4 linked regions of the Drosophila melanogaster genome follow. The protein of the gene in region 2 interacts with the protein of the main gene of each other region in a pairwise test. Each region holds a gene or a part of one and is shown on either strand. Other genes may lie near its edges. The genes, in order: insb, CG8281, dod and CG14074.

What was found.
Region 1: the proteins of CG8281 (region 2) and insb interact in a two-hybrid assay, tested with the Drosophila melanogaster proteins (one large-scale study listed by BioGRID).
Region 3: the proteins of CG8281 (region 2) and dod interact in a two-hybrid assay, tested with the Drosophila melanogaster proteins (one large-scale study listed by BioGRID).
Region 4: the proteins of CG8281 (region 2) and CG14074 interact in a two-hybrid assay, tested with the Drosophila melanogaster proteins (one large-scale study listed by BioGRID).

What each region holds. Positions count from the first base shown.
Region 1 is NT_033778.4:17,474,694-17,477,969, reverse strand, and holds insb (insensible), read left to right. Parts: upstream 1-1,697; 5' UTR 1,698-2,003; coding exon 2,004-2,534; 3' UTR 2,535-2,756; downstream 2,757-3,276.
Region 2 is NT_037436.4:7,910,938-7,914,334, forward strand, and holds CG8281 (uncharacterized protein), read left to right. Parts: upstream 1-1,525; 5' UTR 1,526-1,669; coding exon 1,670-2,716; 3' UTR 2,717-2,826; downstream 2,827-3,397. Other genes in the region: pbl (pebble), read right to left, coding at 485-521; Tmem43 (transmembrane protein 43), read right to left, coding at 2,849-3,060, 3,122-3,397.
Region 3 is NC_004354.4:21,343,505-21,347,380, reverse strand, and holds dod (dodo), read right to left. Parts: upstream 2,024-3,876; 5' UTR 1,931-2,023; coding exon 1,873-1,930; intron 1,762-1,872; coding exon 1,429-1,761; intron 1,060-1,428; coding exon 950-1,059; 3' UTR 818-949; coding exon of another isoform or gene 632-817; 3' UTR 523-631; downstream 1-522. Other genes in the region: peng (penguin), read left to right, coding at 1-424, 632-817; fliI (flightless I), read right to left, coding at 3,196-3,606, 3,730-3,876.
Region 4 is NT_037436.4:18,864,273-18,867,931, forward strand, and holds CG14074 (uncharacterized protein), read left to right. Parts: upstream 1-1,952; 5' UTR 1,953-1,989; intron 1,990-2,047; 5' UTR 2,048-2,066; coding exon 2,067-3,077; 3' UTR 3,078-3,159; downstream 3,160-3,659. Other genes in the region: CG6865 (uncharacterized protein), read left to right, coding at 1-322, 636-931, 994-1,149; Dysb (dysbindin), read left to right, coding at 3,608-3,659.

The sequences.
Region 1 (3,276 bases), on a different chromosome or scaffold from region 2:
GCTTCGGCCAAGTTTAACTGAAATGGGGAGAGGAAAACCAGCACGCAATATTACACAATGTCAAGTGTACGATAAAAATGAGATAAAAATAATATATATGATTCAATTTTGATACGCCCTTAACAACATCAAGTGCTTATCAAGTAAATAATGTGTACACACACCATTGCCGACATACTAAATGCAAATATCCAATCCATCCATATCATAAGTTCACAGACTTGACGTCTGGGCGTGATTATTTAAATGCCCCTTCCGAAATTGCGAAACAACAATTCGCTGAGATAGTGTCAAATTCGCAGCCCCAAATAAATCGAATAATGCCCAATTTCCTTGACCATAAATAAACATTTATTGCTATCAATGAGATTGTTTCTTTTTTTTTTTCTTGGGACAGGAGATTCTTCATTTATGGTGTCATCTTATATTTCAGCACTCCCCCCTTCCCCCTTCCAACAAACCCAAAATATAAATCCCTTTATTTTAAATTATGGTCATGATTACACAATGCGCGGACATAAACCATAAAGCGAATTATGTTCATTCCAAATTTTGACAGCATTATCGATTAGCATTTTGGGACCACTCCACCTTTACTACGTTAACAATCGGCAATAAAGCCGATAAGAATTGGTTCTCCATGCCAACGGAGGTAAACGTGATTTCGTTCAAACTAACTCATACCGCATACCAATTTCCATGACAACGAAATTCGAAAATTTCTCGCAGTGCTTTTAGGTGTGCACTTATCATTGCAGTGGCAGGTCAAACTAACTCGCAGGGGAAGTGCCGATCGAAGAGATGAATGTGAAGCGTGCCAGCTGCAAATGCTTATCATGGTCGGGCATACCGCACTGGGGAATCTCCTACAAATATGCACATTAAACGAATTTTGTATGCAAATACGAAAATCTATATTCGTAAAGAAGCATCGTGATCAAAGTTCAAGTGATCAAAGTTCACAAACAAAATTTTAGGTAGCTTATTGGTAGAATACAATGCTTAACGGATACGTTAAATATTACCTAAATAGCTTAACTGTCTAACCTGAATAACTTATTCTTTAAGTGCGTCAGCAGTGCACGTTTTGCCAAGAAAAGCAATTTAAGCAATTACATATATCGGTCGTTGTTCGCTAAAACCAGATCGAAACTCATTTGAAATCAACTGAATTAAAAGTCCAGATTCGTTTATTTGTAGCAATTAAGTTAATTCGTCATTAAATTGACAACTTATACATTCAAAAAAAATTCATGAAAATTTATACGCTCAAAACTTGATTACCCAAGATTGTAAGGTATTGATAATTTATTTATGTCTGCTTTAAAATGTAAAAAAAAGAAAATTTGATTAAAATGCTTTATTTTCGCACACACCCTTCAATGCAACCCTATTAAAAAAAAGGACATAGGAAGGTAACTTGGGAATCGGCTATGCCGCACCGAAAGGAAACGGACACGGGACAACAACAACTGAAAGGTCGGAAAGGACGAGCAGGGCGCGCCTGTGATCCCGGGGGGATGGGGTGCAGGACGGATGCACGGAGGAAGGGAGGATATTCGGAGCGCGGCTGCTGCAGCGGCAGAGAAAGAGAGAGAGAGAGAGAGATAGAGAGAGAGAGAGAGAGAGGTAGAGAGAGAGGCAGCGCCAGCTGAGGGTTGCAATATCCTGCTGCTGCCGTTCAGGCTGTGGCCTGTAGCCAGTATCCTGTTGCCCTCCCGCTTCAGCTGCCGCAACTCAAACAGCTGCAACAATTTTTTTTTTTTTGGTTGCCGATGGATTGTTGTTTTTAATTTCCTTGGCGCGGCACATCCCCTAATGCCACTATCTCTGGTCCCTGCCGCATTTTGGGGTTGGAGTCGGCAGTTGCCAGTTGGTCGCCGGGGTGCAGTTGGTCGCAGCTCAGTCGTGGCGATCGCCAGGTGAACGAAGGTTGTGTCGCGCAGGAGCGAGTTGGAAAACCAAACGATTGCAGCTTAAGTCTAGTAGATCATCCTCTAAGCATGTCGGGCAAACTGATCATGAAGCGCAAGCGAGCCAGCCAGGAGGAGCAGCAGCAGGCGCAGGAGCAACGTGTCCAGCCGCAGGAACAGCAACAGGAGCAGCAACCGACTGAAGCGGTTCCGGAGAAACGCCATCGTCCTCTAACTCCACCAGCAGAAGAGCCAGGGCAGAATTGCCCCAACCCGCCAGATGCCCCCAATCGAATCCTTCTGGAAGCGCTGCAAAAAATAATGGAGCTGCAAGCGGAGCTGGATGCCTTTGAGCAGGATCTAAACGATCGAGATGGCTATGCGGCTGCCGGAGCTGAAGCGGAGGATGTTGAGGAAAGTGACGAGGATGCCGAGGTGGCGGCCCAGTTTGCGCCACCGACGCCAGCCCAAAGGAGTCAGGCGGAGGCACTGGGTTTTGCCATGTGTGCCAGAGAAACATTGCTGTTTCTGCAGAGCGAGGGAATACCCACGGAGTCGCCACTCTACCAGACTCTCCTTGGGAAATTGGTTGGGCAAAGCGATGGACTTCTGCACGCCTGAGAGCAAACCGGAGGGCAGGAACTCCTCCTCATTCTAGTCACTTTGCTGCGATCTCATTGCAAGTAAAACGAGAGAGAGAAACCAAGGGTTGCGAACTTTCCGGGGGTGGAAATTATGCAACACAGGGATCTGGGTATTCCTAAGCTATTTACTCTAGTCAATTATTGTAAAGCAATATAAAACACATAAGCAACAACGAAATAAATTATGTATATTGAAAGTAAAACATAAAGGAAGAGGTTTTAATTAAGATTGGGGGGTTCCATCCTAGCTGGGAATAAAAAAACACTCTACTACATCGATTTTCGATACATTTTAAATATATTTATTTATTCATTTAGTTATTACTTGTGTTATTTAATTTTACATATAATAATTAATGAGAATAACTCAATCGCCATATATTATTTCTTTGAATTCATTTTGTAGGTATGTATATCATATAAGTGTATATATTCTTATTGTTGTTAGGGCGGGGTGTTTTTGTTGTTCGGTTATTTCATTAACTTGGTATCATAAATTATCTGGGGGCTTGGGGAATCGCCCTAAAGTAGCATTTGTTATAATTTCATATTAGTTATCTGTATAATTTGTAACAACGATAATTATTTGTAATAAATGGTTGTAATTCCTTTGTATTATCTGTATTACTGATATTTCATTAAAACTAGATTTTAATTGTTTTTAACAATTTAACGTTTCACATGGTTGTATGTAAGTAAATGTTTCTTAAGGTTTTTGG
Region 2 (3,397 bases):
TAAAAACGGCTGAATTCGCATCAATGATAACAGGAACTGATCGCTTAAATTGTTGTTGCTTGTCCTTTCTTTTTACTCTCACAACAGTTAGGGCGCCTCAGTTGTTGTTGTTGTTCTTGCTGTCGGTACAGTGTCGCCGAAGAGAGGGAGAGTGAGGGGAAACGATGATGAAGAGAGGGAGGCATTTCGCATTTATGCGATAAATATTTTCTACACCGAAATAAATTCAGAAAAAAAGATTAAAATATCTGCGACACGATGCCGTTGCTTTTTTAGTCACACAAATACACACAAAGATGTACTTATAGTCGTTGTTATTTCATTTTATTTTTTTGCATTTGCTGGCAGCGACATTTTTTATGAGGATCTTTTGGCCCCGAATGTGGTTTTACCCCGTACCCAACCCCTTTGGGCGACATTGAAAAATGATAAATTCGCCGGCCATTTGGAGCTGCCACGCCCCGCGCCCTCTTTCAGTACTCACCGCACTTCGATTGCTCTTCAATGGTCTCCATTTCCATGGATCTTCTGCAGTTACTTTTTTAAGGCGAACAACTCGTGGAACATACACAAAAACACACACCAACAGAACTCGAAACACAATAGAACGAACGCACAAGGAGACAAATAATTCGTTTGTACTCGATTCGTTTACTTTCATTAACTGGACGCTGTTTTCATGCATTTAGCGCGCATCATTTCCATGTTTGTTTGTTTTTCTACTTTTTGTTACAATTTATTTATTATTTAATTAAAAAGCGGCGGCTCACGAAAACACACACACACAGACGCGCATAGGCAGCGTCGCCCGGTTCTTCGTCCTCTTGTTAGCGATACCGCGTACCTGCTTTAGCAATTTAACCAACAAAATGATCAACAATGTAAGCGAATTGCGCTCAACGGCTGCGCGTCGGAATCACAAATCAAAACTCAACGGACAAACGCGTCTGTTTCGAATTTTTTTCGCTGTAGTGTGCCGCGCAGTGTAACCGTCGCGGGGGCGCCAAGAAATACGCGCAAATGTGATGAACGAAATACCAGAATCAATCGGCGCTAAATAATGGTCACACTTGCAAGGGGTTGAAGGTATTCCCTGTAATGCTATATAACTAAATTAAACGACTATGGCTATAAAATAGTTGTAAGCTGCACTATATTAACAATCAATTAGAACTGTTTTCTTCGTTTAAGTTGTTTTTGGCCTGTCGATAAATTAAATTTGGTAATATCCTACTATTGTTGCAGTTGTAGCCTCCAATCATATTTTTCATGCAAGCTATATAAGCTACAGTTAATTTTATGTATGCTTGCTCATATATTTAATAAATGAATGCCTAAAACTACTTGCTTTTGTGCTACTTTGTTTAAATATACGCGCTTGATAACAACGAGTTGACCGATAAATACTGCTGGCGAAGTATCGATACCAGTGACAAGCATTGCCACTACGTCCGCACTTGTTGCTGTATCTTCACGCTCACGCACACTCGCACACAACCATTACGTCAATATGGCAAACAATCTGTCAAACGCGCAATTACAACAAACACAGTTCGTTCGCATTGACAGTTGGTCAATAGGTCCATCCAGGATTCGCTGAAGTGGTGAAGATAGCCAAGGACTGCAGCTGGCGTGGATTGGCAGAGGGTAATCCAGAGATCCGCGCAAAATGCTGCCACAAACGCCGCCGCACGGATTGAAGGTGATGTCGGGAGCGGAGGAGAACCGACACTATCTGCGCGCCTTCATCCAGACATACAGGGATCTGCCCGTGCTGTGGGACACATCGCTGCGGGACTACACCAATCGGGAGAAGCGGGCGGAGGCCTATTTGCGCCTGGTGCCCATATACCATTATCTCAAGCGGGACGCCACCGTGGAGGATGTGAAAAAGAAGATCAACACACTGCGCACGAACTACCGCAAGGAGCTGAAGGTGGTGGAGAGTGCCCTGCGATCGGGCAGCCTCCACAGTCCACGCTGCTGGACCTTTCAGGAGCTGGACTTTCTGCGCAACTCGGAGAAGTTTCTAGCCGTCAATCCCGCCTTTAAGAACGAGCCCAACTTCGCCTTCGGTGAGAGCAGCAATTGCCCGAGTGCGTTTCTGGAGAGCCAGGGAGCAGCCCTCCATTATCCAGCACCACGCGCTGGTGGTCAGACGCCCAACATTTCCGAGATGTTTCACAAATCATTTGGAGCTCCGCCACCGCCACCGCCAGCAACCAACCATGTGGATTATGGGAGCAGCAAGCGAGCCAGGCAAACGCCGCCATGTACGGGAGCAGGAGCCGGATCTACTGGCGGTCCTGGGGCAACAGGCACCGCCCACAACACCGACGAACTACTCAACATAGCCTGCGAGTATTTGGCTGGCACATATCCGGAGGAGGAGTCCATCGCCCGCACCTGGACGCACAAACTGAAGCGACTGCCGCGCGAGCAGCGTCTTCTGGCCGAACGTTTCATCAACGAGATTCTCTTCGAGGCCGAGTCCAACAATCTGCATCGCGGATCTGTGCAAATCAACAACAGCTTCGAACCCTACGTTCGCTACGAAGAAACGCCAAATGGTCACGAGGAGCAGGACAAATCACAGAGCCCCAGTGTGCACACCTCCAGCGAATCCAAGCCCAATGTGTCGGGAGCGAGCGGAAGCGGGGGAGGAGGTGGGCCACCGGGCAGCACCACCACCAGTGCGGGCATCAGGGAGTTCTAACTTTAGTTTAGTTACTAAGTGTTAAGTTTTTATTGGCCGAGGGATAAATGGCAAATGCGATCAATTTGGCTCAACAATGAAAATCAACAATAAATAAACCTGTAAATAATATTGAGATGACTCTGAAATGGATTAGTCCAGGCGATGGTAGTCGACCAGATTGCGGGTGAACCAGACGTAAGGCGATGCGCCAGCCAGTAAGAGGCAGGCGCCGATCACAGGACGATGCAGGATCCAGGCGACTGCCGCAATGGTCAGAGCTAGCGAAAATGCGATGAGTAGGTTGCCCGTAACCGGGAACTGAGGATCGGGTGCCAAGGCCACCAATAGCGGCACCCGTACAACTGGAGGAGATATAACCATTTAGTACAAGAGATCAATTTTTTTAGAAAATACAGGACTCACACAGCAGACGAAGGATTTTGGTGTTGCAGGTGACGCCGAAGAAGATCAGCAGCCAGCCGACGAAGCGCCACCACCAGGTGTGCAAGACCTGGGCACGAGCCTCCAACCGGAACACTTCCTGGACACTGAGCCCACCCGGATAGACGAGCAGCACTGGAACGCCACGGGAGGTTATGTACGGCACCAGTTTGTTGCCCGACAGCTTGCCCACCACGCTGAACACCTCGCCCTCCATTCCCGCGAAGCTGAAGAGCAGGCGCAGGTCACCCACCTCCG
Region 3 (3,876 bases), on a different chromosome or scaffold from region 2:
CCAACCGGAGTGGCGCATTTCAGCAGACGCCGCCGGTCCGCAGCCGCAGGATAAGAAGAAGCCTCACAATGACGTGGAGGCCATTATAGCCCAGGCCACCAAACAGCGCAGAAAACTGCTTTATGTCGAGAGCAGCAGCGACGACGAAGATGAAGATGAAGATGAAGATGAGGAGAGCGACGATGAAGGAGACGAGAAGGAGCAGAAGGAGGCGGCCGCAGATGATGCCGAACCCAAGGTGAAGAAAGCCAAAAAGGAGCCCAAAAAGCCAAAGGCAAAGGAGGAGGAGCCGGCGGCTCCGTTGGTCTCCGGAATCGAGGAGGCCGGCATGCACATTGTATTGAAGAAGATACTCAAGAACGATGGCAAGCGAGAGGGCACCCCGTTCAGCCAACAGCTACTCCAAAACTTGTCCTCCGATGTGGTAAGTACCCAAAAATCATGCCATCCGGTAACCGAGGGTATCTTCCTTTTTCCCAGTCATGAGAAACGCATCGTACTTTTGAGTTTTTTCTTTTATTTAATGACGTTTCGACATTCCTTTAGCTTTAGTCTAATAAATAAGTAGTCGCAAAGTAAACAGCTTCACTCAGATTCCAATTCCTAATTGCGATTCCCTTTCCCTTTTCAGCTGAAAGCCTGGCTGGGCGTCAACCGGGCCTGTTTTGTCCTGCTCAAGCTGGTGGAGGAGTGTCCCGCACTGCTGGACGACTGCAAGAAAGCCATCGCGGCGGAGAGGAGCCTTAGCCAGATACTCGCGGACCGTAAGACGCCCGGAGCCAAGCTACTGGCCGCCAAACTGGACATTGGCAAATGAGAAACGCTTCTAGCCTAGACAAGACCTAACATTTTAAAATACAATAAATAATTCTATATTGAAATGGCTGGGCATTCCGTTTTATTCATGTGAAGGGACGCGAGTTGTGCTGTGGGTCGGTGCTCGATGAGTCTATGCCTTGCGCAGGATGATGTGCAGGCCGGAGTCGCTGTCGACGATGCCCGACAGCTGGTTGACGTTCAATTTGAAGGCAGCGTCCTCGAAAGCCGCCTGCATCTGACCTGTGAGATGTGAAATGTAATTAGAAGCAGTTGCAGGTCGGTTGGGTGGCCTAAACTCTACGATTGCAAGTAGCTCGCGAAGTTATAGGTACAAAAATGTGTAAGGTAAGGAAGATTAAAAAAGAAATGCCGCGGAGCCAATTGCAAATAGTGTTTGTCTATAACTATGCATCTATAATCTATTAGTGGTCGATATATCTTCTCTTCTCTTCTCTTGAATATTGAAAACAATCAGAGCCTCTAGTGGAAGTACCAATCTGTTTCTGGATTGCGCCTCAAGTGGGAAGCGCCTTATTCCTAAACGGACACACATCGAGGACCACTCGATCCTGGACGTGTGACAAATGCACAGTGGGGAGATATACATACCTCTGCCGAACTTTCCCAGGTCGCCGCCCCTCTTGGCGGAGCTGCAGTCGGAGTAGGAGCGGGCCAGCTCGTCGAATGTGGCCTCCTGCTGGACGATTTTGTTGCGATAGACCTCGAGGAGCAGCTGGGCCTCCTCCTTGGTGCGCGTGATGTTCGCCTCGCGCCACGAGCTGGGACGCCGACTGCCCTTGTGCTTAACCAGCAGATGCAGGCAATGCACCTCGTCCGGTGCATCTCCGCCGCCGGCGGATCCTCCGCCCGCCTTCTTCGCCGGCTCTGTGGGCTGATCCCACTGCGACTCCTTTGTGTACATATTGAGATAATAGCTCATTCCTGCAAAATCAATCATGATCAATCAAGTGCAGGTTCAGTTTAGCGTGCCGGTTCCGCATTCCGCCGGAAAACCGCCGGCATGGCACGAGCGGGACTGCACACGATGCTTACCTGTGGAGCGGCTAGTGCGCTTCTCCCAGCCGTCCGGTAGTTGCTCGGCATCTGGCATGCTGTTTTCACTTAATTTGAGTTAAATTACAAATAGTTTTCGGAATAAAATAAACCACCAGTGTGACCGCGCCGAACACGCTTTGAGAACATCCATCAAAATCGATAGCGCCTGCCATCGACATATCGATACACATGGTGGCGAATTCGCCAAATAAGGTGCTGGCACGTGCTAACTGCGGTGGGTGCACTCGCTAACCGCAGATACAGCTGAGGCCAATATAATAGCAGCGAACTAACAATAATGTGCTGATATGTGCTATTCTGATATGTTATATGTATCTTTTGCCGAAAAATTAGCACATAACTTAATTAAATCTATTCCAATACCTCCTTCAATCCGCGACACGAATAGAGGAATTTCAATTTTTCTAATGTTTATTCAGGGGATTAATAAAAATAAAATAAATACGTGGGCATTTGTACAATTAGTTTTAGTGCTTCCTTGACTTTATTACAGGCTAGCTTTAAGTAGGTTAACATTTTAAAAGGACTAGCACAGGGGAGTAATCCTCTCAGCTCAGCGTATGTATATATATATATATATATATATATTGCGTATTTGTAGGCATATGTGATATACATACATATGTATGTATATTTGCATTCAATATACTCATGTGGTTTTCTCGCAGGGAGTGGGCGAATACTTGGCGTTCTTGGAGTTAGCTAATTATTTAGTTAGGGGCGGGAGCAAGTGAGCTAATAAAAAAATTTAAATTAATTATACAAAACAATTAAATACATTTTATAAAAGTACAAACACACGATCTTCACTCACGACCTGAAGGAAGGGCTTGGCTTGGCCCTTTCATTCTTTTTCCCTCGATACAATTTTGCTTTGTCATGTCTTCTGGGGCAGCTACTCTGTCACGGCAGCTGCCCAGCGCATCTTCCCAGCGAACAACATTCGCATCCGGCTAACAGAGGTCTAACTTAATGCTTAATGACCAATTTACAACTCGATGGGGCTCCTCTAACGGGCTAAGATTAGTGGGTAACACCTCTAAGGTGCCTCTATTCATTTCATAAAACTAAACTCACATTGCAGGCGTGCTCTTCGACTTCTGGTTAATAAATGCACTTCCCGAGGCCGATTCACTAGCTCTGACAGGGACTCGAAGGCGCCAATCGAGACAAGCAAGACAAAAACTAGCGCCTTTTAGGCGCTTTCCTTGCGGAGACCTAAATGGCCACATAGCGGCGGTGCATGAATTAGGGAAATTTAAAAGAACTACTCGACGATGCTCCTTCAGTTGGCTAAAATTATAAATACACCTTGAAGGCGCTCCAGCCGTGGAAGCACTTGGTGAAACGGCGCGACTCCTTGTTCTTCATCGTGAGGAAGAGCTTCCTCGGCCGCTCCGGCTGCTTGATCCGCATGTGCTGGATGTAGACCTGGGCGGACTTGTAGGCCAGCTTCACCTCCACCTCGCTGCAACGCGGTCCCATCCACAGGAAGACGTGCTCGCCGTTGTCCAGGATCATGATATCGTCGTCGGCCAGATCGTCCTGGCAAAAGTCGGCGCACTTCTCGGCCACCGTGTAGTAGCCGCGCTCGTTGGAGCACCGGAACAGCCGCGTGTAGTTCATGTACTCGGCGTCCGTATCGTAAGGCTTGCGGCCGCCCAGCGCCACCCAGAAGAAGTTCTCCGGCTCGTCGCCCTCGTTGAGAATCTGCAAAGGATGGATGAAAAGAAACGATTAACAAGAGCGTGTACCTTAATATAAACATATGTACAATATATTCCACAAAACAGCCCACTACATGGTTGAACCACATTAACACATGGAACCCACCTGTAAGCTCACCCACGGCGAGTTGAACATCTGCTCGGCAATATCCTGCACCAGTTTGGCCTCTTCGTTGCAGGCCTTGCTGCCTATCCACACGTACACAATCCCCGACTGCGAATCGTCCTCCGTTTCAAATGGCACATGGAGTAT
Region 4 (3,659 bases), about 11 Mb from region 2:
TCGGTTCGAAATCCAAAAATCGTGGGAGGTAGTGAGGCGGAGCGCAACGAAATGCCCTACATGGTCAGTCTGATGCGTCGTGGTGGTCACTTTTGTGGCGGCACTATCATCTCGGAGCGATGGATCCTCACGGCGGGACATTGCATCTGCAATGGGCTGCAGCAGTTCATGAAACCAGCTCAAATCCAAGGAGTTGTGGGTTTGCATAGCATCAGGGAGTACCTCAACGGGATTGGCAACGGTCCGGATGCACTGAGGGTGGACTTCAAGAACATTGTGCCCCATCCGCAATACGACTGCAACGATGTGAAACACGATATAGGTATGTGTGTTTTTTAAGGGGTAATTGCAGGTTCAATTATTTTCCATATGTACAGAACTGAATCATAAATCAACAATATGACATTAACATGACATTATTTTTCAGTAAAATGAATAAAAAATTTTAATCTAGTAAAACACCATTAAAAATATGCGCTTAGGTTTTAAAAAAACAAACAGAAATACATAGGTAGGAAATAGTTTCAACAAAGGATATTAACATTAACCATAATGAATCAGAGACGAATCAAATAATACTTATTATTCTTAGTATTCCTTAAGCTATTGCAAATTGGTATTTTATTCTTTTACAGCCCTCCTGGAGCTGGTACAGCCAATCCGATTCTCTTCACACATCCAGCCCAGCTGCGTGGGATCCGAGGAGGGGCACCGAAGTCTGGAGCAGGAGTACGGAACAGTTTCCGGTTGGGGCTGGACGCACGAGAACCAAGCGGAAAACGATCGATCCGATGTACTGCGCAAGGCTACCGTTAAGATCTGGAACAACGAGGCGTGCGAGAGGTCCTACCGATCCTTGGGCAAGAGCAATACCATTGGAGAGACACAGTTGTGTGCCGGTTATGAAAACGGTCAAATCGACTCGTGTTGGGTGAGTATTCACTTGGCTGATACGGCACACATGTTATGCTCCGGGTTTACTTACCTTCACAGGCGGATTCTGGCGGTCCGCTGATGTCCAAGGAGCATCATCTGGTGGGCGTGGTGTCCACGGGGATCGGCTGTGCACGTCCAGGTTTGCCCGGAATCTACACGCGCGTCAGTAAATACGTGTCCTGGATGCAGAAAGTGATAGACGGCAGGAAATAGTTGGCCAGGAATCTGAAACATAAAGATTGTGATTCACCTGTGATATTAGTCGTACTCGATTATGTGATCTTCTTCAATAAACGTTACTTTAACCAACTAGAAATTCAATTTATTGCGGCCGGTCGTCATTTTTTAAACTTTAATCGATGATTGTGCCAATCGATATCGTTGGACTAATTTGTGGTATTTTGCAGAAAAGATTACTCTGACAATATTAATCGACAAGAATATCGCTAGTGTAGGAGGAACGGAGGAACGATGGAATTTTGAATAATTTATTCTTTCATTATTGAATTCAAAAAAATGCAATAACGTTTAAAAAAATATCTAACTACCTATGTACGACTTAAGTTCATAGGACTCAAGAAAGTATATGAAATATGCACTTGAAAACTTGGCTCCCCACGCTTACTGTCCCACCTGCTGCCCCGCCCGACCGACTGTCACCCGTGGCCCAACGAATGTCTTGACGTCTGCCCCGCCGTTTCCCTAAAGAAATGTCCTTAAAAGTGGTCACGCTCTACGAGTGGAGAAATTCCCGAAAATGTGGGAATAGTTAGTAAGATCTTTATTTTATTTTTTGCAATTCACCTCCAAATAACGAAAAGAAATAAATAAATAAAAAACGTCCCCATGTTTTGATTTCCACCGTTCCGTCATCGCCGCGAACTCATCGACGCTAATTTAACGCACATACAATAATCGCTTTATACTTAGTATTTTAAAAATACTTATAAGTAGCACTTACCGTCCGCGGTATTTTTTGTTTCGCAGCAATTGGTATTCAATTAAATGCCATAAACAAACACAAAAAATGGAAATGGACGCAGACCTAACAAAGTAAATATTTATATTACAATCCGATATATTTTTAATTAATTTGATGCTCTCACGTTAGTCAGGCGATTGCCGAGCTAATGCGCGAGATCGAAGGTGCAAATGCCAGTGTCAGCACCTCGAAACAAAGCGAACGCAAAGTGAATCCTCTGGGCAAACTAAACAAACGCTTCTTAGGCCGCACCATAAACACCGCGATTCGGCATAATGATAGAGAAAAGGAGCGCACACAGGCAAATTGCCGACAGAAGCTGCAGGATCTGGATGATGTGCACGAAAGGAGGAAGTCCAACTACTTTTACAGCCGCGATGCACCCAGAACTCAAAGTGTTGATAGAAGCAGAAGTTCCAGCAGAAGGCGCAGCAGGAGCCGCCACAAAAAGGCCAAGAAGCATCGCAGCCGAAGAAGAACTAGGAGCAGCAGAAGTTCAAGCCGCAGTCGAAGTCGCAGCAGTTCACATCGGCGAAAAAAGCGCAAAAAGAAGGTTAAAAAACACAAAAAATCACACAGAAGACGAAGAAGCAGCCAGAGCAGCAGCGGTTGCGATTGGGAATCCGCACCCAGCGAGTCGTTACGTATACCCCCGCCTTCAGATGTGTTCCTAAACCACTCCAAGCAAATGGCTCTTGCAGTGGCCATGGCCTATGGTCAATTACTAAACCCGAGCAGCCAAAAGAAAGCCAGCGAGTCTAAGGAACACTCCTCCTCTCCTATAAGCGATATATTCCGGGAACTTATGTCCGACGAAGAGGTGGACAAATCCGAGAAGCCCGAGGCCCTGTCCATTTCATCCAGCGACGAAGAGCCAAATGTTCTCACCATTAAAGTAAGCTCGAGCTCCGAGTCCAGCGGCAATAAATCAAGCTCGGACTCAGATTCAGAAGCAAAGAACAGCGTACGCAGCTGTATAACCCTAGAATCTGGTGATAATAGTGATATTGAGATAATTGAGTACCATGAAGAGCCCAAAAAAAAGGCATGTGAAACTGAACCTGCGTCTGAACCTGAATATCCGTCTCAATCGGATAGCACAAATCAACAAGTGGACGATAGCACAGCTGTCACTACAGTGGACCTGACCGAGGATTAATTAGGCTAAACTTTAGTTAGAGAATCGTTATGTAAGATCAGAATGAAATTTTAAAGGAAACAAACTGAAGTTGAACCAAACTAAGAATATTGTTTTTATATTATTATTACAGATATAAGCTCTGCCATAGATAGATTCATATTTGGTTGGTTTTTTTTTAAGTTATGTTTAATAGTAATATACTAAATATACCACCGAATGATACCCTGTTGTGTCTGTTTATAATATCAACTTTGGGTTCATTTTTTTATTTAAATTATAAAATAAAAATGCAAAATTTGAAATGTTAATAATACTTATTAGTTTTAGTAAGTAATAAAAACCACGTGCCAGAGCTCTTGCCATAGTTGATATGCCTCTCGTGTACGGCAACAAACTGTTGCTCTCTCTCTCTCTCTATGACCGATTTTCTCTCAGCACCTGCCCGAACAGCTGATTCTTTATTTACCACTCAATTTTCGATGGAAAACGCCAGCGCGAAGACAATTAGAAATCGCTAAGTTAAATAAATAGAGATCCGTTGTCGCAAGATGTTCGGGAACCTGAAAAAGAAGCTTAGCAGTGCGATCCAGGAGGGCCTGG